3 linked regions of the Xenopus tropicalis genome follow. The protein of the gene in region 2 purifies or fractionates together with the protein of the main gene of each other region. This does not show direct contact. Links are inferred from orthologs where the notes say so. Each region holds a gene or a part of one and is shown on either strand. Other genes may lie near its edges.

Region 1 (7,411 bases), on a different chromosome or scaffold from region 2:
CATCTTTTAATATGCTGCTTAGTGAATTCTGTACTGCACCTTTAGCACCAATCACTAACTTTGTTTATGTCACAATCTTAGGGGCAGATTTATCAAAACACAAGTTCGAATCCCGAATGGGAAAAATTCGGATTGGAAATGAAAATTTCTGAAGATCGCAAATATCACGAAATTGCTTTCGAAAAAATCATATTAGTCACGATAATATCGTATTGGCGATCTGAAAATCACGGAATTTTCATACCAAACCATTGCAAACAGCGGCAGGGCCTTTCCGAATTTTTCACGCGGACACGCAAAAAGTCGCGCAAGCGCGAAAAAACGGCGAGAATACGCTCGGAGCATTTGCATGAACGTTCCAAGCATTCGGGTCTTTGTAAATCTCCCCCATAATGTAGAGGCCCTTAATCTTACTGGACCAACGATGAAAGGTGGTTGGCAGTCCAAGGTCATTATTGGTGCTGAGGATTGCACATGGCTTTCTGCATTATCAGCACCATGGAAATCTTCTAGTTAATTATGCGCATGCATTGGGCTAGAACAACAGATGTGTGCATGTACCAAGCCTCAGAAACTGTTTTTGATAAAGTGATGTCTTTTTGTTTGTCTTAACTTCCCGTTAAAATTAAAAACCTGCTGCATTATTTTAAAGCACCTGTGAGATGGGATAAATCTTATTTTGTGGCTTTCCTTGTCCTTTAATGACATTAGCAGACACAGAATGTATGAATTTGGTGTTATTGGCGCCTTCCATCAGTTTGCTAGGAAGCTTAATTGGTGGTTTGCCACGGTTTTACAGCAAAATTCTGCAGTGCAATTGCACAAAATGTAAATGGTTTACATAAAGGAGAACAAGCTTGTTGCCAACAACAGTGTTAAAAGAAAAAGTGCATTAGTTATATACACCATTGCTTTACAGAAAAGTTGCATGGTTTATTCAGTTAAGAGTCATCTAGGTGACATTTGCATTGAACTTTTTATTCTGCTGGAGCGACCGCTATGCAAGAAGAGTTTGATAAATTGCGCAAAATTCTCTGGCCTCAGTTGCATGCAAAGTCTTTGCTTCAAAGGGCTCTCTTTGCATTTCTGTATAGTTGCACTTTGCACCACTCAGGCCTTCCTGTTCCATACTGAACGCAAATGTAATATTGATGCAGAGGAACCCTGGTGCTGCCATGTACGGACCAGGTGGTAGCTTCAGAGTTCCCTTTAGCACTCTGTGCCGCCTCAGGCATCCATGTTAATGCCGCCCCCTTGCGCTTAGCTTTGTTGCGTCAGTGGGGGGCTGCATTGCTAGTGCGGACAGCCGAAATTCTGATTTAAAAAACAGAAATTCAGCTCCTTAAAGGACAAGGAAAGGCTAAGTCACTTGGGGGTGCCAAAATGTTAGGCACCCCCAAGTGACTTTAATCGCTTACCTTGTACCCCAGGCTGGTGGCCCTGTTAGTAGAAAAGAGCAACGGCCAAGGGTACCTGTAGTGAGCGTTTCCTCCTTCCGGTTTCGTTTTGCAAGTACTACATGACAGGCGCATGCTCAGTAGAGTGAAAAAGCGACTTCTCTGTTAAAGTTCGGCTTTTCACTCTACTGCGCATGCGAAGATGTAAGGAGGAAGCGCTGCATCTACCTCGGGCTGGTGCTGTTCTCTCCGAACAGTGGCACCAGTCAGGGATAAAAGGTAGGCGATTTAAGTAACTTGGGGGTGCCCAACATTTTGGCACCCCCAAGTGACTTTGCCTTTCCTTCTCCTTTAAGTTACCAGGAGTGACTTTTGCTGCCCCTGGTAACTTGCCAGGCTCTGCCGTCTGAGGCGATAGGTGCAGGGGCACAGTTACTGTGAAGCGAGTTTAAAAACTCGCCTCAGGCAGCAGCACCCCCGAAGTTACCAGGGGAGGCAAATAGCCGCTCCTGACAACTTTAGGAGCCAAATTTCTGGTTTTTAAAAGGGAAATTTTGCTGCACTATAGCAGAGATTGCCATGGCACTCTCTACACTAGCGATGTGGCATGCCTGGACCCCCTCCCGTGCTGTAAAGGCATGGTAGGAACCTCCTCAGGTGGCTCAGGGGCAAGAAACACCCCTGGATAGGTGCAGTGCACTTGCATCTAGAGAATAGGTTCCTGACACTCTCATATTAAATGGACAGAATTTTTTTTAGCGCAATTGCATCTAATTTACAGCAAAGTTTGCCTGAAATTGCACTTGGCAGACTGCCCTGCACTTGTAAGCATAAATATTTTCTGTGTAGGTGATGTGACTGCTCAGCTGCCAGTGTATACCTAGAACGTCCAGATGATGAAACGCATACACTGGACAGACAGGGGAGTGCCTTCGTAAAATACACGAAAATGGCGGCCTAGTGAAGTGAAATATGTGTCAATGCCACATATTTCAAGCATTTTTTTTTTTTTTTTATTATTTGCAAACAAAACGACATGTATCAGTCAGACACCTACACGAGGAGCGACAGAGGCGGGCGGAGCCTGGGACCTACCTTTCAACACGTGACTCACTACTATTAAATATATAATTCGGGTTTTCTTTTATCATTAAGACCCTGACTTCATGGGCTCTTCAACTACACCCGTGTAGATTGTACCGGAATTGACATTAACTGCCCTCAAGGCAGGCTGTCCTATTTTGTCAGGGTGCCGCTTCCCTTAGACCCATGGTATTGAAAGAGTTACTGTTCGCGCCAGTAAATTCCCCGCCAGTGTGTTGGTAGGGCCCATTGTTCTGCGCGTCACTCGGGCCCTCCCACTCCTGCGCACATCGGAGCTGCAGGCAGCCGCGGCTTGGAGAGCGTTTCTCGGTGTGAGGGGGACGGAGCAGGAGTCACCGGGTGCTGGTTATCCAAAGAGAGTGAGGTACGGGGATGAGAGAGAGGAATGTTGTACCCGGGGGCATGAGGAGGGAGAGGAGCAGCATGGGAGAAGCACGGCCCGGCAGGGTTGGGGAGGCGGGAAAATTGCTGCTAGTTTGGGAGAGAAGCGGAGGCCTGCTGCAGAGTAGCAGCACAGACCAATGGGTGGGAGGCATTGTGTAAGGGCGGGGAGGCCGTTCTGCAAACATACTGCCTTGTCTTCAATTGCTGCTCACCGCTACCTGGGCTTGTTGGGAGCTGTAGTTCAACGGCAGAAAAAGTCACAACTTTCTATTTCACGTATATATCTTGCCGAATGAAGAGCGGCCCCCTAGCACTTATATGACGCTAGCAGTGTTAGTGGTATTCCGCCAGTATTCCCATGCCCGGTGCAGCGCACAGTAACTCTCACATAGTGCTAGGATGGATACCCCCTGAGTTTCTCTGTATCACTGGGTTTCTTTACAATGAAGCTAATGCTGTTCGGTACGGGGGGTGCGCAGGCGCGAAGGTTCGTGGCCTCTAGGTGGTTAGTAGGGAAAGTAAAGGGTATACAGGGCAATGGCTACCCGGGCTGGACAATCATAGGGAAAGCTCGGTGCCGCTGGTTATAATGGTTTCCAACTGTGCCATGCAGTTTCCCCTGCGACAGTCTAATCTCTAGTTTCCGTGAATGTGTGTTCCTCATCTCCCTCCGGAATACATTCGGTTAATCAATCATGTTGCGGCTCATTCACATGTACGCATGCGTGTTGGAGGGGGTGGGGGATGCTTTTGCTTTCCGGCTTGGGAGGTGAAGCGGCGTAAAACTTTATCTGGATGCACGTTGCGCAGAGCTGCTTTCACGCTAATGTTGTATGGGGGGGCGGGGGGGTTATGGAGTCTCGCACGGCAGTCACAGCAGAAAATTCCTGCCTTTGTTTCTGGTATGGCAGAATTTCGCCTCACGGCAGACCGCTTTCTCATTTCAAGGGACAGTGTATCCCGTGTTTATAGGATTGGCTTAGTGATAAGGGCGTGTGCTGAAAGGAGACTTATCATAACAAATTAAGAATGTACTAGTGAATTATACTTTAAATATAGAAGGATTGTGCTTTAAAATAGTTGTTTCAGACTGATTTATTGAAACATTATACACAGACCCCTCTAGTCCCGCCCATCTGTTCCACTTCCTGCAGGCTGAAATCTCTGGATGTGCAGGGGAACCACTGGCTCTTGGCACACTGCACTGTAGGATAGGAACCTACGCTAGGCGGACCCAATAGGGAACTGAAGTATGTCTTTGCTTGTGAATTCAACTGTTAGGATACTCCCGCCCTTCATTTGAAGCACAGAAGACTGATAGGATCTACATGGAGCTCCAGTAAAGGAGACCTTTTTACAGATAGGATTAATTTTTAGCCCGAAGTGACACCAGCACCATATAGTATTCATAAGTGCCTACAAAATTAGGGGTTTTTCCACTTATCCAATGTCTCATTGAACTTCATTTTTCCCTGTGTTAATTATTTATATTGTTTTATTCTTCTTTGCACTAAACAGGCCAGAATCTTCAGGTAGTCACTTAGAGGTGTTTAGATTAGTCCTTTTTCTGGAGCAATGAATTGCCTTTTGAGTGCTGAACCTGTTCTAATAATCAAATGAAAAACCAGTCTCTTAAGGTTTGGGATAATACCCCATAGTTTCCAGTGAAATTAAATCTCAAGAAAACCTAATTGACAGAGGTTAGGTTTTTATTTTTATCTCTGGAATAAAAATGTGCCAGCCTAGAGCTCTTTAAGTAGCAGTGATACCACAATACTGCACTTTTCCCTGGAATTCCTAGTGTAAACAGACTAGCACAAGCACGGTATACTACCATTGGAAAATTTTTATTAAACTGGACATGTGCAAGTTTGTGCTAGGAATCCTTGGGTAAAGTCTGGCACTTTTTGTGAGAATAGTTGGCCAAAGAAATAATTTTCTAACTTATTGGCACCCTTGTGCTTTAACATTATAACTTACTACATAGCAGGGAGCTAGCACCTAATTGTAAGCATAATACAGTTTGTGTTGGGATAATTTTGATAAGGCTGTGAAAAAGTGGTGCATATTGTCTTTGGAATGGTGCTCACAGTATTAGGGGCTGTTCCTTTACAGAAGAGGAGTGTTTCTATTAGGTTAGGTAGGATCAAGCATAGCAGCTATCAGTGGGCAGTGCTGGCACGGTGTGTACTGTGCTAAGAACTTGTACTGTATGTAATCAGGGAGCAGGAGGCTGGAAATTCTCTCATGTGACCAACAGTCTGAAGTGCCATTTTACACTAATGTTAACAGGAAAGTTTGAAATGGAGAGTACTAATTGCATATACAATTATTGGTTTATATTGATAACTACTGTATTAATAATGCATGTCTTGTAACATATGTTTCTGATATCTAAATGTCTCTTAAAGGGGTAGTGCACCCCAGTGAATAGGGCTTGTGCCAAATGCACTTCTATCTTATTTAAGAAAAACATTCTTGTGATTTCTTGTAGTAAACTGGCACAATCTAAAACAAAGTTGCATTCTACTTCCTGGCTGTATAATTAAGGTCAAAACAGATCTGCGTTCTACTGCTGTTCCTTATCTCTGTCTTACAGGCTGCAGCTGGGCAAGGAATCTTAGTGGGCAACTGATTTGTTTTGACCTTGATTGTAGGGACGGGAACTTTGAATGAAAGGGAACCCAAATGAAAATATCTGCTTTTGTTTTGTGCAAGAAATCTCAATTGTACCAACTAATTGCCCTGCATGTCTTTGCCCTTAAGTTACTTATTCTGCCACAGGCTAGCTGCAGTGAGTCAGACCAGATATAGTCTGTCTGGCTTTAGGCCACAAGGAATTTATTCAACTTAGTGTATGCCTTTTATAGAAAGGCTGCAACTGCAATGGGACCTATATGTAATTCATTAAGCATGCATTTTGTGCATGTTTATCTTAAAGGGGCTGTTTACTTTCCAAACACACTCGAGCTTAGTTTTTTTCTGGTGTACTATGTGAAAACGCTTGAACTGAAATCTGTTTGGAAGGCAAACAGCTTCTTTTTAAAATTGTTTTAGTTATAAACTGATGTGTGGTTAAAAATTTCTACATGCTGTCAGGACCTGATAATGGCTAGACCTTAAAGATGCATTGCATGCTAAAATATGTAACTTTGCTGTTGATGTAGCAGATGTGAGTGTTAACCACCATTTGTACTTGTGAACATTCATTTGTAGAAACTGTTTTTGATTTATAGGTTTGTTTATTTTTGCTGGGCTAATAATCCTAGCAGCCAGGCAGTATTTTGGAAGTCAGAAGTAAAGATGAAGAGTGGAGGACTTCCACAATTAGAAATTAACATGGTAACAATCTGATTTCTAGCTTCTATTTCTAGTATATTATATAGCATATGTGAAGGACTTATGTTGTAAGACAGGCAGTATTGTTTTGAGGGGGGGGGGAGCATCCCTCTCTTTGAGGGCATAAACAATATTACGTGTGCACTTTAGTTTGACATACATACATTATTGTCAAGCAATTATCTGGTTTCACCTTTTAAATAAGTTCTTAAGTGTCCCTTAACTTTAGTGCTCTAATGCTTTCTATGTTAAAGGGAAAATATACCTTATTCTTGACATGTAGAATAAGTAGTATCTGAACTTTCAAATTGTAATAAAATAATATATTTATATTTACAGACATCACCTTTCATTAGGAGGTGATTAATTCTGCAAATTGAAGTCCCTCTGCTTTCCGTAGCGGGTGGTGCACATTCTCTGGGAAGCTGTGGGATTTTCGCAGAATCACTTCACAATGGAACAAAGATGGGTATATTTGCCCTTTAAGCCATTGGTCGAACTATTAAGATGTACTAAATTTTTTTTTTTTTTTTTTTAAATGTACCTTTTGAGTTTCCTTCTTACAAAATAGATATGTATACTTAACCAATATATATTTCTTTTTCCACAGACCATGGGAAAGAAACAGAATGGCAAGGGCAAGAAAGTGGAGGAAGCAGAGCCTGAAGAATTTGTTGTAGAAAAAGTTCTGGACAGACGTGTAGTAAATGGAAAGGTTGAATATTATCTCAAATGGAAAGGTTTCACAGAGTATGTAGTGTTAACATTCAACTTCTACCACAGCATTTTATTGATATTGAACAGTATTTAGAAATTTGATGAAAACATTTTTTAGTATTAGAGATGTTTTTTAAAGGAGAAGGAAAGGCTAAGTCACTTGGGGAAGCCAAAATGTTAACGTTGCTGCTGTTTGCCCCTGAAACTTTCAATAAAGGCATTTTAATTTAAAATGTAAGAGGTGCTGTTCCGGATCGTTTGTACCTGGATATGCCGATGGAATGTGGCCATTGGGAAACCTGCACTGTTACAAACTAAATACAAGGTGTTGTGCTGACTACTACTTCCAAAGGTGCCAAAATGTTAGGCACCCCCAAGTGACTTTAATCGTTTACCTTTTACCGCACCAGCCCTGGGTACCTGCAGTGAGCGCTTCCTTTTTCCTTCTGCCGGGAAAATCCCTGGGCCGG
Region 2 (6,702 bases):
GTTTAACTACTACATCACAGATAAAAATGAGTAAAATACAATAGAAAAACAAATTAATACCAAGCGCACTGAAGAAGTTTTTCAAATGTAGGTAAAAAAAAAAACAATTTTAAAACCTGTTTGAAAGAACTACCTGCATCTTAGGATGTAAACCTCATCAGCACCATGAGACATTGCTAATCCTTTCTTCTTACTTCCAGACCTTGATCTTGATTTCTTTTGCTTGAATTCTGTACAGAATTAAGGTATTATATTGACTACATTAGAAAGGATAGACATCAATGGATAAAATATGTGAATATTTGTCCTTAATTTATAAAGTTTTATTTGAAAACAACAAAAATTTTCCCTAAGCAATGTTGTTACTTGTAAGTACTAGTCTTGCATAAAGTGAAGCTCGCCCTACATTGGCCAAACAATCTAATCATTACCTAATTTAGCCACCGTGACAAAGGGGTACAAAATTACACCTATTAGGAGAGGAGCATAGTCTTTGCAGTACAAAATTTTCTAACTTTCCCAATACTTGATGGAACCCTAATCAGCTATCAGTCAGGGTTTTGTAATGTGGCCTTATGCATAACCCAGTTAGGAGTGTCAATATACATGTCAAGGCAACATGTTAAACTAACCCATTGACACTTTTACGTAAGGAGATGGCATTGCAAGTTCCATGGCACATGATTTCATCTTTGCACTTAAGCCAAAGCATCTGAAGGTTAAGGGTACACAAGGCAAATTAGTTTTTTTTTTTGCCTAAGGGATTTTTAGCTCAGCAGGTAAGAGACAAGATACTCAGAATCACCCCAGAATGCTACTTGAAATTGCTAACTAATGCAGGCATGGCCTGTTGAAACTTAAACAAATGAGTGGCATTTCAGATCTTTTTATCACTCGCCTGCTCAGCTGGAAACCACTTGGCCTACAAGGCATTCTGATTTGTTCCATGTGCCAATTCCCTAACAGTAAAACCCTCAAATTAACTACCAAGTGCAACAATGAAAGAATGTGTTTTCAAATACTGCCCAACATTTTACAATAATGGTCTTGTGAACCTGAATGCACGAACATTTTCATACTGGCCATATACCTACCAGAAACATTGTACAAAACAAAACAATTATTGGCACATGTATGATGACCCACCAATGCAGAACAATATCCATAGTACTATGGATATTGGTTGTTTCAGTCATCAGAAAGGTCTCATTTCACCTGCCAATACACCATGTTGGCTAGTGTGTGGTGCTCCTTTTTACTTGCTGATGTTATCCAGAATAATAGTAAGGAAGTCTCTCCATTTAGCCATCGGCTCATCAAAAAGCATACTTATTGACCTGCTTTTGGCCCTTTTTATATAGTTTTTTTTTTTTTTTTTTAATTCTGCCAGAAAACAACTTATAATGTTTGTAAACCTTTTCATGCTTGCATAAAGGCATCCATTATCTCATATGTATGCTGCTATGTGCTTTCTAGCAAACAACATATATACAACTGTACAGCACTGCGTACATAGGTAGCGCTTTATAAATAAAGATATACATACATACTGTCTTGCTTTATGACTGGGATAGCATATATACAGATTTATCAGTGCTTTGCCTCCAACAACTAAAATTATTTAATTTTGTAATGGAGGTTCAGGTATATCATACTTTTTAACGGATTCCTCGATGACAAACTCTTTCATATACCTCCCTCCATATGACCTAAAGTTTACCCATTCAAATAGATGCCACTCTGCTTACTTCTATAAACATAATTTTCTTCAATCAGCAGAAGGGGTTGACTGATTAGATCAGAGAAATATGGCAAGATTGTAAGCTATTTTGGGGAGGGCCCTCTTTACATCTTGTACTGGTGACTGGTTTCATGGTTTTTTTTTTTTAATATATAGCTAATGTATACACCAATTTATTCTAAAATGATGCAGAATATGTTGGCATTTTATAAATACATGTTGATGTACAAACTGCACAGTATCTAGTTGATAAACCCACAGCCTACTTGCTGTATTGATTACCTGATCAATTATATTTTTGTTAGATCTGGAAACCCATTAGACAAAAAGCTACGAAATATGGAAAGGCCAATCTCCCATAGACTCCATTATAACCAAATAATTCAATTTTTAAAAATTAAAATATTTTATATTAAATATTTTTTTTTTCCTGTAATAACAAAAAAGTACCTTGCACATTATCCCAACTAATATATAATTCTTATTAGAAGCAAGACAATACTATTGGGTTTATTAAGTGTTTAAATGATTTTTTAGTAGACTTAAGGTATGGAGATTTAAAATATGGAAAGATCCCTTATCTGGAAAACCCCAGGTCCTGAGAATTCTGGATAATAGGTCCCATGCCTCCATAAAAAAATACTGTCTTTTGGAGCCCATAGGCGTGCTGCAGGCATGAAACAGCTTGAATAGCAGCATCAAAACTGTGGGTTTCCAGATGGACAGCCATGCCCTAAAGTATATAATAAGGTATCACCAAAAACCTAATTTATATAGAGAGAACTACATATGTATGTAGCAGCAATAAACATTAAAACTTCTGCTAATTTCAACTTAAAATGCAATGCCCAAAAGACAACCTGTTATAAACTATATACATATATAGATTTTTTTTAAGCTTCCTGTTACTCTGAACAGAATAAAAACTCTAGTTGACACTGTGGTAATTAAAGTGTTTTACCCACAAGACTGTAAAAGGCTCTGTACTAAATTAGGCTGCTGATGAAGGCTGGGAGAAAAGGTGGTAAAACACAGCACCAAACAGCTGTTAAACAAAACATTGTATTCAATGCCTTTTATATTCATTACTCTGGATGCGCAAGCAGTAATGAAAGTTAATGATCTGAAGTTTCTTGCAAAATTCTTTGTGCAAAGCAAATGATCAACAAACTAGTTTTACTTATCAAAGAAGGAAAAAAATCAGCTCTGAAGTTAACAAAACAAGAATTTGTTAATTTGGAATAAAGTAGAATTTCTAGTTTCTAAACATTTGATTTACTATCTCTATCTTTGATTTATTCTACAGCTTTCTGTTCCTACTTTAACAGATTCTGTAATTACAAAGCCAAAAACTGAACAGAACTGTAGATGAAATAAAAATATTTTAGCTTGCTAAAGCCACAAGTCTGCGCAGTTTGTGGGGAGTCTAAAAGCCAGGGTGAAACAATGTGCTTTATTTGTTGCCTTGGACACTTCTATAGCAAGTTGACTGCCTTCTTTGTTCAACGTGAAAGCAATAAATAGGACTTGGCATCAAAAATGTATTCTGCCTATTTTTTCTATTATAAAGCGCTAATTGATCAAAGTTCAGTTTTTACTTTTACTACCTTCCTTTTCACCCGTTGTAATCAGAAGAGTTTGTTTAAATTTGAGAAAATGAATTCTGCATAAAAAAAACTTCTCAAAGCCTGCAGAAGGGATACTGGAAAATAGTCCATTATACAAAAGGGTTTATCTGTGAACCGGTAATGTGATTAACTACCTTCTTCTCCCACAGCAGCTCTGAAAAACTACAGAAAGTTGAATTTAAACTGGTAAAAAAAAAAAAACTTATGGGATATGCCAATGGTTAATTTAAAAAAAAAAAATTACCTGCATGCATAGCATAGTCCATTGATTTGTGCTGATTACACATCGACGAACAGTCTTCATTTAGTGGATGAAGGCATTTTTGAATGAACCTTTTTCTTGCAGTTTGACTGATCTTTTGAGCGGAATGTTCTACATTCTTTCCTTGACCCAATCTTTTCATTTTAAGCAGTTCAATTAGTGAAAAGGGTTGATCTTTGTCAGCATCAATGTTTGCCTTATTACATTCATTTGATAAAGGCAATCCCTCTACATCTGATGTTGCTCCAAGCTTTAAGCCATTATGGCGAGCTTCAAGAGGCAAAGCAGTGCTAGCTGAATTGTTACTGGAAGGTTTCTGAGCTATAAATGGTTTGTGAACTGGACGTCTGTTACTCAGTGCTTTCAATATTTGTTCATATTTTTCTTCATTTTGCAGCATTTCATTAAGAACACAGATTGGTGACTTGTTTGCATCCCACTTAGTTTTGCCAATTCTTTTTAAATGCCCACGAACATGATTTGATAATCCGATTTTAGTATCAAACCATCCTCCACACAGTGCACAGGTATGTTCGGACGGACTTTCTGATTTTTCTATTGCTAAAAAAACAGCATGAAAACAAACATTACATTACATTTGTTTCAAAATATTTAGCAGTCTACTAAGAAGTAAATTAGAAGTCTATGTTTATTATTTTTGTTGTTAAACCAGGATAATATAAGGGTGTGACTACTAAAGCACACACACTAGGCACAACTCAGTACTAGAACAAAAAAATGTATTCAAAAAGCTAGTGCATTAGTAAGTAACAAAATTGCACCCTATTTTTGAGCCTTCATGAGGGTGCCACAAACAAAGGCCCCAGGGTAGGGCTGATAGATTGTTAACCCTGACTAAGGCCCCGCAGTACAAAACAATTCCTTTAACTTGTAGAATAACATTTCTTTTTATAAAATATATTTTCAAGTTTCTAGTAATATCGCCTTATGCTTACATTATTTATCTTATGGTACCCAGGCAGTAATGTTTGGCTTGGATAGAGTATACAGCTTGGACTGTATACAAGCATAAAACACACATTTTTCCTCTACTTACAACATAAAAGTATCATAACAGTCCTTTTTAATTTTTAAGTACATAAACCTTTTTAAAGGTTTTTCTTTTTTCTCTTCAGTGACAATGTTAGGAGCGAAATTACTTAAACATTACTCTGTGCGGAAAGCTTGGAAGGCAGGTTTATAATAGACTACCATGCAGAGAAGAACTGGTCAGCCTGGGCAGAAAATCTCATCTACCAATGCCTCCCAATGGAATGGCTGGAGGAGTTATCTTCTAATGTAAACTGACAGGGGCTACACAAAAAGACCAATTCCTTCCAGTCTACCTTTAATTTGTAAGTTCAGCCCTATGCCAGAAAGAAAAATCTTTGCAACCACATGTTCAACGAATGAGTGCGAACCAAGGGGATCAGCTCATGTATGAGCTGAAGACACACAGGAACTAAAAAAGTGAAAGCTGTAGTTTAAACATATAATAGATACCATGTCTCAAAAGTTACTTCAAGAAACTGTTTTGCAAAGACATTACATTTTGTGAAGTGTAGTGGTGTAGTTGAAGTGTATCTGAGTACCTGTAAATTCTGACAATTTAGTCATCAGGAAAACTACAAATGAACAACACCCCCATTTCTTGTTTTTAGAGGTGCAGAAAAAAATGGTGTAAATTCTAGGAAATAGTAAAATCTAATATATTATGCATTATAAACTGGGGGAACCACAAATAAACCAAAAATCAAGGCAATCCATTCAAACACTCCAGTCAAGTTCATTCATACCTTTTCGAACTCGTTTCGTTGGTGTTCCAGTTCTCTTAAAGTGCTGCATTTTATCACTAGTTGCAATCTGTTCTGGTGACACCACATGTCTAGCTTCATACGTCAATCCTGCTCTGTGAAGATGCCCACGAACATGATTTGACAGTCCAACCCCAGTTTCAAAGGTTGCAGGGCAATAAGGACAATTTTTCTTTTCCAGAGACAAATCACTCCAATGGAATATAGCACTATGCTCTTGCAGCACAGAGTCATCATTTTCAAGATGATTAGCACCAGGCATGTCTTGTATAAATACATCCCCCTCCCCATCTTCATAATACTCAAAGTAAAAACCATCATTGCTATTATAGTGCAGGGTGGATTCATCACCATGCTCATCGTTCAATTTCTCCTTGAATACAGGATAAACTGATTGCTTTCCTGTATTATAAGGTCCATCAGGAGGTTCTGTATATTCATATATTTCATCATTTTCCCATGAATCATATTCATCTTTTTGTTCAGAGGGGTGAAGTTTTTTCAGGACAACAAAAGTCATTTTTTTAAGGAAATCTGGATAACAGTCTAAACTTTCTTCAGTGGCTGAATGTTCATTTTCTGGTTTAAGCACCTTTTCTACAGCTACCCGCCTGTGATCTTTAAAAGCAACAAATTTCCTTGGCTGTAAAGACTCAGCATCTATAATCGAGCAATCATTCTGAAGATCAGTGGATGCTGAAAGCAACTCTAAAGTACTAGATGAATCTTCCTTTTTTAAATTTAATGGATACAAATCATTAGACTTCTTTAACATTTTGAAATTCTGACCGTATCTGTAGCCATGATTCGCTCTGGCATATTTCGGTTTTGTAATTTGTTGATAATACCTATGTTTTTGGTCATTGCTAGTAAAGAGAAGGGATTTATTTGGGGAAATGGATGGACTACAAACTACAGACTGAGCAGCACTTTTCCTTGCTTTTTGTATTTTGTGCTTTCGATGCAACTTTGTAAAACTGTTTGTTTGGGATACAGAACCATAATGGCTTTTCATATCCTGTTTTAAGACAGAATTCTTTGGAAATGAAGAGGAAGGTTTTATAATGTGTTTTGTTTCCTTACCAACACTTAGAAGTTCAGAATCTGTGAAATTCTGTAAAAGGGAACCATTAAAGTGATCAGGGGAAGATGACTGATGAACATATTCAATGTGTTTTTTTAAATTGTTTCTAGTAGAAGCAGCAAATGGGCACATCTTACAGATATAAGTTGCAGATTTTTTGGATGAAAGAAAAA
Region 3 (7,370 bases), on a different chromosome or scaffold from region 2:
ATAACTATATGGCCCTCAAGTATGTGTTCTGCACAAGCATATACAAGGCTGATCTAGGGTTTTGGTTCAAATGATGTTCTGAAGCAGGGGTCAACAATAGTTATGGGGCTATCAGAGAGGGGCTAGATTTTTCCTACCCTAGGCCGTTCAAGGTGCCAATGTGTTGTGCCAACCCCTTCTTGATCACAAACATATACACACACACACATATATAAATGCACATATATAGGGTTTTGTGATTAACAAGGGGTTGGGATATATATATTATAAACACACACATATATAAATATATGTTTCTGATTCCTCAAGCTACCATGTCTGCTTCAGACAACCAACAATGTTGTGTCATTAATGCACTGCAAGGCAGAAAATGATGTTGGGTTGAGAAACTCAGGGATAAACCTTTAAATAATAATGAACCGTAAGAAATAAGACTATTTGTAAAATAACAATTACACAGTCACAAGATTTTTCTTTTTAATAATACCAACAGTTCCCCCTTTTGAGCATGGTCAACCTGTCTTAAGCACAGGCCTACATGTGATCACAAGGTAAAGTATAAGCCCTGAATCTGCTGTGCATGGAATGTGTTCCAGCCTTATACAGCTTAACCAAACTACAGGACACCAGTCTGTACATGTCCTAAACCAAAGAGCCAACAATGTGCCGCTAACTTTGCCAAAATAAGCCTCAGCAATAAACTCATTATGTCATCTGTCAGTCACAGAGACCTCAGCATACAAAAACGCACAAGGGCCTCTAGAACCGATGCCCTATGGCAAAATATTGAGGGGTACAGATGTGACACAAACATGTACTGTTACTAAATTAGGTTGGCGAAATATAGAAACATATTCCTTATAGCATTTTAGCTTTGCCTAACCATGGTGATTTCAATATTGCAGACATAAGCGATGTTCGGGGTTGCTTCCACAAGCTGGACCAGATATCCAATTTGTAAAAGGATGTCATCCAAAGCTGAAGCTGTGGGTTCATGCTGCTTTGTATTTACAGAATTTTATATAAAATATCCGGCCAACCATTTACAGTTTCCATGGCTTTTGAAAAATAAGGACACATCTGACAGGCTATGTAGACAAGCAAGGCTGTTACTAGTATGCTATACACAGGGAATGTTTTAAGGGTTGAATTATTTTCATATGCTCCTCACCAGTGTTAGTTAGGGGACACTGACTAAAGCCAACAGGCAGAAACAAGTAAGCCTTACATATACAGTACATTAAAGGGGAACTCCACCAAAAAAACATGTTGTGCATAATGAAAGTAAAAGGTAATACTAAGCAACATTTAGGAAAGGAAACCTATTTGCCGGGGATGTCAAAAATGTTAGACACACCTCAGTGAACAGAATTCTTAGATTTGCTTCCCAGTTGGTGTTCCTGTCAGAAAAACAATTGCACTGCCCCATGAAAACCCAAGAGCCATGCACAGATATTACTAACAATAATCTGCAGCTGGGGCAGGCTCATGAGCAACAGAGTCAACTTTTCTGATTTTACTCTGCTTTGTATGTGTCTCCTTTATGTTAAAACATAACTTATCACAGGCAACACCAGACTGTTTATATTCTCTGCACTACTGGTTATCATATGTAAAAACGTGGCAGAAACTAGCTGGTAACAGACCTGCAGGATGGCTGACGCAGAACAAAAATGGATCAACACATACAGCTTTCAACATTAATAACATTTACACATAACTTTTAAAACTAATGAAATCAGGAATGCATGTATTTTGAAAAGTTAAGTTATATTTTCTTTTATTAGTCAAAAGAACTGTTTTTCAGTAGTAATTAACTTTAAAGCATGGTTACACAGTTGATAAATAATGATGGTTACTAAAGACACTTCACTCCATGGGTTCCAGGGTCCTCTAACATGCCATGCAAAAACACAGTCCTTACTACCATCCTTCTTTTCTAAAAGCTTAGAGGTAGAAAGGAGAAATGAAAACAAACCTTTTATGTCAAAATAAAGTTAAGGAAGATTGAAATGATGATCCGAGCGCCAGTTTGTTGCTGTATGTCCCACACAGTGCAAGGTGCTGCAGATAGGAATCCAAGGAAAAAGTGTAAGTGCCAATGAATTTATCCACCTGTAGAGAGAAAATGATTGAATTTTAAGCACATGGTATTTTCTTAAAAACTACAGTACCCTCTGATTCTACTCTTCCCCTCTATAGTGCCACTTACTGGGTTAGTGCTTTGATACATTAGTCTATCAGTTCAGTTATGTTTCACCCCCTTCCCAGGGCCACCCTCTTTATAATTTGGGAGTTCTGTTTCTGCACAAGTTGCACAAAACGTTGAACCCGAAAAATGCTAAAAGTAAGGTAAGGTGTTGTTATTGAATACACTATACCATGCTCTACACTAGTGATGGGCAAAACCTGAACAAACAAGGGATAAGTTAGTGGTAAATAACTAGCTGGCATAATCTGATGTGAGGTGCATAGCCCTAATGGACACAAGGAGTAAAGTAAATTGCCATGAGTAAGAAAAGGCACCAATTTGACAAGTCAGTTTTGTGACAGGGGGGCTATACCCAGGTATCCAAAGTATAGTTTTTAAGGTGTTGCTGAACCATCACTAGCAGCCTTTAGCAGAGATGCTGGGAACTGTAGCACTCAGAAGGTCCCAAGCAGTGCATCCATGCTCTACACTAGTGATGGGCAAAACCTGAACAAACAAGGGATAAGTTAGAGCCTGCACCTAGAAGCACCAGAGGGGCCTAGGGAATGTGGGAGTGAATCACTGGCTCTCTGCACAAGCAGTGCATAATGCTGCTGTCATGGGCCCTGCCGCATTCCACTCCCAAACCTATAGGAGGCGCTGTGCAGCAGCTTCCAGTTTTGCTTCAGTCTACCCATCCCCCCACCCCAGCGCCTTACCCGGCGCACAGCAAGCGCCCCCTACTGGAATGTGAGGCGCCATTTTCTAGCTGCAGTGCATCTTGGGTGGAGGCTGCCTGTTATTTTTTTTATTCCCCTTTTTCCCCCCTGCCACAGCTCGCAGCCGTGCAAATAGAGAAAACAAACAGCGCTAAAGTGCATGACTAATGCGAAGCCATCACTGTGACAGCAGGCCATGTGCAGCGCAGGAAAACACCGGCAGCAGTTCGGATCGAGCGCCTTTGTGATGGACCCCCACTACGGGGAGTGGTGCAGCCCACCTGCCGCTAAACCCTAGCGCCGGCCAGCCCATGTGTACCTGGGGAGAGGGGAGCATGCTGGTTTAAAGGTTCCTCCTACAGGATCGCGCCTTTTTGCAGCAGAAGCAGCCAGACAAGGGAGGGTGGGGGCAGCCCCTATCCCCACCCCCTCCCATATATTAACCCTTTGCCTTCATGCCACTGGGATGCCCGAGGTACGGCCCTCCGGCTTCATAACTGCACGCAATACGAAGTTCTATTTATGTAGCATGGCAGCGCCAACCCCATGCCCCCCGCTGCACCCACAGCCGGATCCTGTGCCCCTCCATGCCCGGCACCCCTCTAGCCGAGCTCCCACCGGCACTGCATGTCAGGCTGGAACTCCCCAGCAGCAGGGTGCCCACCCACACATCCCATTGGGGCACCCCAGCTAGTGGCAATGGGGGCAACAGGACTCATACTGGCACCTCCCCCATCCCTACACCCAAAGTAACAAGTCTGTCCCCACAACCATCATTATCCGCATCCAATCAGAGCTGCCCGGCACAGATGTGAGTGCTCAGTACAATAGCCAGGTATGCCCCCTGCCCACTGGGCCCATCAGCCTGCCTATCTGTCCCCACACTATCTCCATCCCCTATTTGTGTCCCTCACACTCTCTGCACTTCCACCAACTCCATTGTGCCCCGCACTTCCTGCAGCCCTCAGTGTCTCCCCAATCCTTAATAACTTCCATCTGTTCCTCACACCACCAGTAACTTTATTATCCGTAACTAGCTCTGCTCTACCCCCTGTCACCCCCCCCAATTCCTGAACTATAAATCCCATCATCCTCTATAGGGGGGATCTGGGAGTTCTAGTTCTACCTCACGTTAGGCACTCCGACTTCATGAGAAGATGCACCCCAACATACCCACCCTGTAACCATTACGCCGCTCACGGCCCCAGACATACCTGAGCCGGGGGGTTGCTTGTCAGCCCGAGGCGGTGGGCAGCCTATGGCCCCTTGGGATATGGGGGTGCCAGGCAATGCGCCTGAGCATGAGCCCCGTGTTTGTGTGTGGGAAGGGGGTGGAGTCAGTTCCCGGTGCCGGTGGCTGCAGCTGTGACTCCGCCGGGTGCACTTCCTCCTCCTGCAGACAATACAGCACGGCGGCGGCAGCGGCTCCGATCCTGCCCTGGCCAAAATGGCGGCCGCGAAGGAGCGGAAGTGACGTCAGCGCTCATTAGCATGAAGGAGGGGTGGGGGGACTCATTGTCCGGAGCTGGCGGGAGCCCGGGAAAAAACAAATACTCCACTGCAGCCGCGCACCTGGGGACCGGGGAGATGGGCATGCACAAAGGGGATCTTGTCCAGCAGGAATTTGGGGGTGAAAGAGAAAATCGGGTCACCAAGATAATCTCCCTCTCACCGCTAGGGGGCGCCTTTTGCGGACGGATACTTCAAAGACAGAAAAATTACAGTGGGAATGCGCGGTGTTCTTGGTATCCCTTCGCCACCGGCACTATTATGGGTTTGGTCACGTGGTGCTGGGTTCTCAGTGCTGCAGCCATGTGGTTTGGGTGGTGTGGAGGGAAGAGATTGGTAGGGCAGCTCCCTGACTGGGTGCCAATTTCATTGCTACTGGCACTATATCAGGAGCAAGAAGTAAGCATCCCATGAGTTACACTTCTGTGGAAAGAGGCTCATTGGGAAACTAAGTTGGCCACAGTAATGGCTGCCAAGGACTGCCAATTTACAATGGTCTCTTTGGAGGGAGGTGACATCTTCCAGCCAGTGGTCACTGTAGTTCTTGAGGATCTAACAAATGACAAGTAAAATCCCTTAGCTAGGTATTATGGTGCCAATATAGTAGGTACCACAGCATCCCTCTGGCAGTTGCAAAGCATCAGCACCTTTAGCAGAACTGATTGCTAGTTAGTAACCCATTGTGCATATAGGTGCCCTCAAAGCCAATTAGCTGCTTTCTATGGTCAACAGCCAAGCATTAAAGTCATTCTCTGATACAATCAGGACCCTATTTCATGGTATGTTTGGGGACCTGGAATATTTTCTTTCAACTAAAGTAGTTTTGGTTTGCCATTGCCCTTCTATTCTTGGGGCTTCTGATTTTCTAGACTAAAGGTAACAATACACATGCCTATTTAAGTTGCCAATTTCAGACCAATTTAGCAGCGCATCTGTATGGGCACTACCAACAGGCCTATTTATTATAAAAAAAAATAGGCAAATGTATTTAAGCATTTGATTGAATTGATTGAAAAATTAATTGAAATTATTGAAAAATGAAGACAACTTAATTCAAAGGACCAATAACCCTAAACATGATTAATCTGACTTCAAGCCTTTTATTTAATTCCAGTGTTTGCCGTCAGCTCCACTGTGTTGCAGTCTTTTATGTGTTGTCTAAACAATGCCCCACCCAGCCTATAATGTTCAGTGGATCTTTACGTGATACATATTCATAAACTGACTTAAATATAATAAAGTACAGTTCAAGTATATATTTAATGCAATAAACCAACAGTTACCATCACCAACCAGTATATTAAAAAAACAAAAAAATAAAATTATATATTACTTAAAATTGTACTCACAATTAAAGAAGATTATACAAAATTTAATAAAATCATGAATGTCCCAATCAACAGCTTAACACATACAAGCAATTGATAAAGTTCATCAGTGAAGAAGGAAAGGTAATACAGAAAAAAATCCAGTTCATCCAGGAATATAGTGGGCACCAACACATATCTTGATTGCTGATCAGAATAATCCAGACCCACCAGCAAGTACAGTCTCAGTTCCTATATTGTCCCCTAGTTTTGTGGGATTGCTTAGAATACCCAAGTTCTCATAACTAATGAGGCTCTCTTTCCCTCTGCCATCTTAATGATGGCTAAACTGACAGCATATGGTGCAGTATTCCTTTATGGTGCCACTGCTTATGCCTCTTACCCCAGTTAATTTCAACAGACCTTACCTTTAGGACTCTTTTACTCTGAGGTAGTGCTGTTCTCCCCGGTGGCCATATATTTCATCCCAGCCATTGGGTTGCACACATAATCGTTCACCATTCCAGTAGTGCCGAGTCCCGTGATCCATTGCTCTTTATCACACAACTCCTTATCTCACTGTGGGGATCACTTTAAGTGGCAATTCACTTTACCTGTGGGTTAAAGTGTCTCCTGATTGGTCTGTAATCATAGTCACAGACTGAATAAAAAGCCCTGAAAAGGCAACTTTAGCCACTTTCAATTATAAAGGACTAGTATCTTTAGCTTTTGGCTACCCACCTCACATTGTTATTTTCAGTAGATTTATTATGTCCACTGCAACTCCTGTTATTCCAATAGGTTTCACTTTGTTCAAAATATTCCCCAAAAGCCCTCCAAGAAATTCCACAGGTATGCAGCGAATCAAGGATTTTGGTCACATGACTTTAAACACAAGGTTTTTTTTGTTCATAATTGATGCAATATTTTTCCCTTAAATTTTAATTCACAAACTGAAAATTACAATCGCTTGGGCCTTGGTCAAAAATAAATTTTTCTTGGAAGATTAGGTATTTGGCCAAAAATGATGGATTCAATGCATTAAAAAATATTGTTTCTAAAACGAGCAATATTTTTGACAGAACAAACTAAGGGGGTAATTTATCAAAACTTACATTTGTGTAATTTGTGCGAATGTCAAAACCTTGTATGTAAAAAATAGTTTGCCCAAGATAGCTACCATTTATTTCTGTGACCTTGCAAGCTTTCTAGATGCAAAAGTTTTACATCTGAGTTCACATTTTTTATCTTTAAAAATATTGAAAATTTGCGTTTTTTTTTCTCTCTAATAAAACATTTTTTAAATTCTGCTAATAGATTATGCAGTGTTGTACTGTTCCAAATTCAATTCAATGTTCCAAACTGAAAATACATTTATGGGACCTGTTATCCAGAATGCTTGGGACCTGGGATTTTCCCCAATAGGATTGTTTTGGCTCCAATAAGGATTAAATTATATCTTAGTTGGGATCAAGTACAGGTACTGTTTTATTATTAGAGAGAAAAAGGAAACCATTTTTAAAATGTGAATTATTTGATTAAAATGGAGCCGATGGCAGATGGCCTTTCCGTAATTCGAAACTTTCTGGATAATGGGTTTCCGGATAAGGGGTCCGATACCAGTACAATAATTCCAAAGATGAA

The links.
Region 1: the proteins of znf644 (region 2) and cbx3 purify together in Homo sapiens (affinity purification with mass spectrometry; 3 studies listed by BioGRID and IntAct, with this or other methods). This does not show direct contact. The link is inferred for Xenopus tropicalis from reciprocal best matches to the Homo sapiens genes ZNF644 and CBX3.
Region 3: the proteins of znf644 (region 2) and adnp purify together in Homo sapiens (affinity purification with mass spectrometry; 3 studies listed by BioGRID and IntAct, with this or other methods). This does not show direct contact. The link is inferred for Xenopus tropicalis from reciprocal best matches to the Homo sapiens genes ZNF644 and ADNP.

What each region holds. Positions count from the first base shown.
Region 1 is NC_030682.2:41,661,944-41,669,354, forward strand, and holds the start of cbx3 (chromobox protein homolog 3), read left to right. Parts: upstream 1-2,819; 5' UTR 2,820-2,865; intron 2,866-3,713; exon of another isoform or gene 3,714-3,737; coding exon of another isoform or gene 3,738-3,787; intron 3,788-6,121; coding exon of another isoform or gene 6,122-6,227; intron 6,228-6,663; exon of another isoform or gene 6,664-6,678; coding exon of another isoform or gene 6,679-6,693; intron 6,694-6,834; coding exon of another isoform or gene 6,835-6,837; coding exon 6,838-6,974; intron 6,975-7,411.
Region 2 is NC_030680.2:105,030,563-105,037,264, reverse strand, and holds part of znf644 (zinc finger protein 644), read right to left. Parts: coding exon 5,428-6,702; intron 4,193-5,427; coding exon 3,614-4,192; intron 231-3,613; coding exon 134-230; intron 1-133.
Region 3 is NC_030686.2:35,648,069-35,655,438, reverse strand, and holds the start of adnp (activity-dependent neuroprotector homeobox protein), read right to left. Parts: upstream 4,454-7,370; 5' UTR 4,125-4,453; intron 3,328-4,124; exon of another isoform or gene 3,230-3,327; intron 2,116-3,229; 5' UTR 1,979-2,115; intron 1-1,978.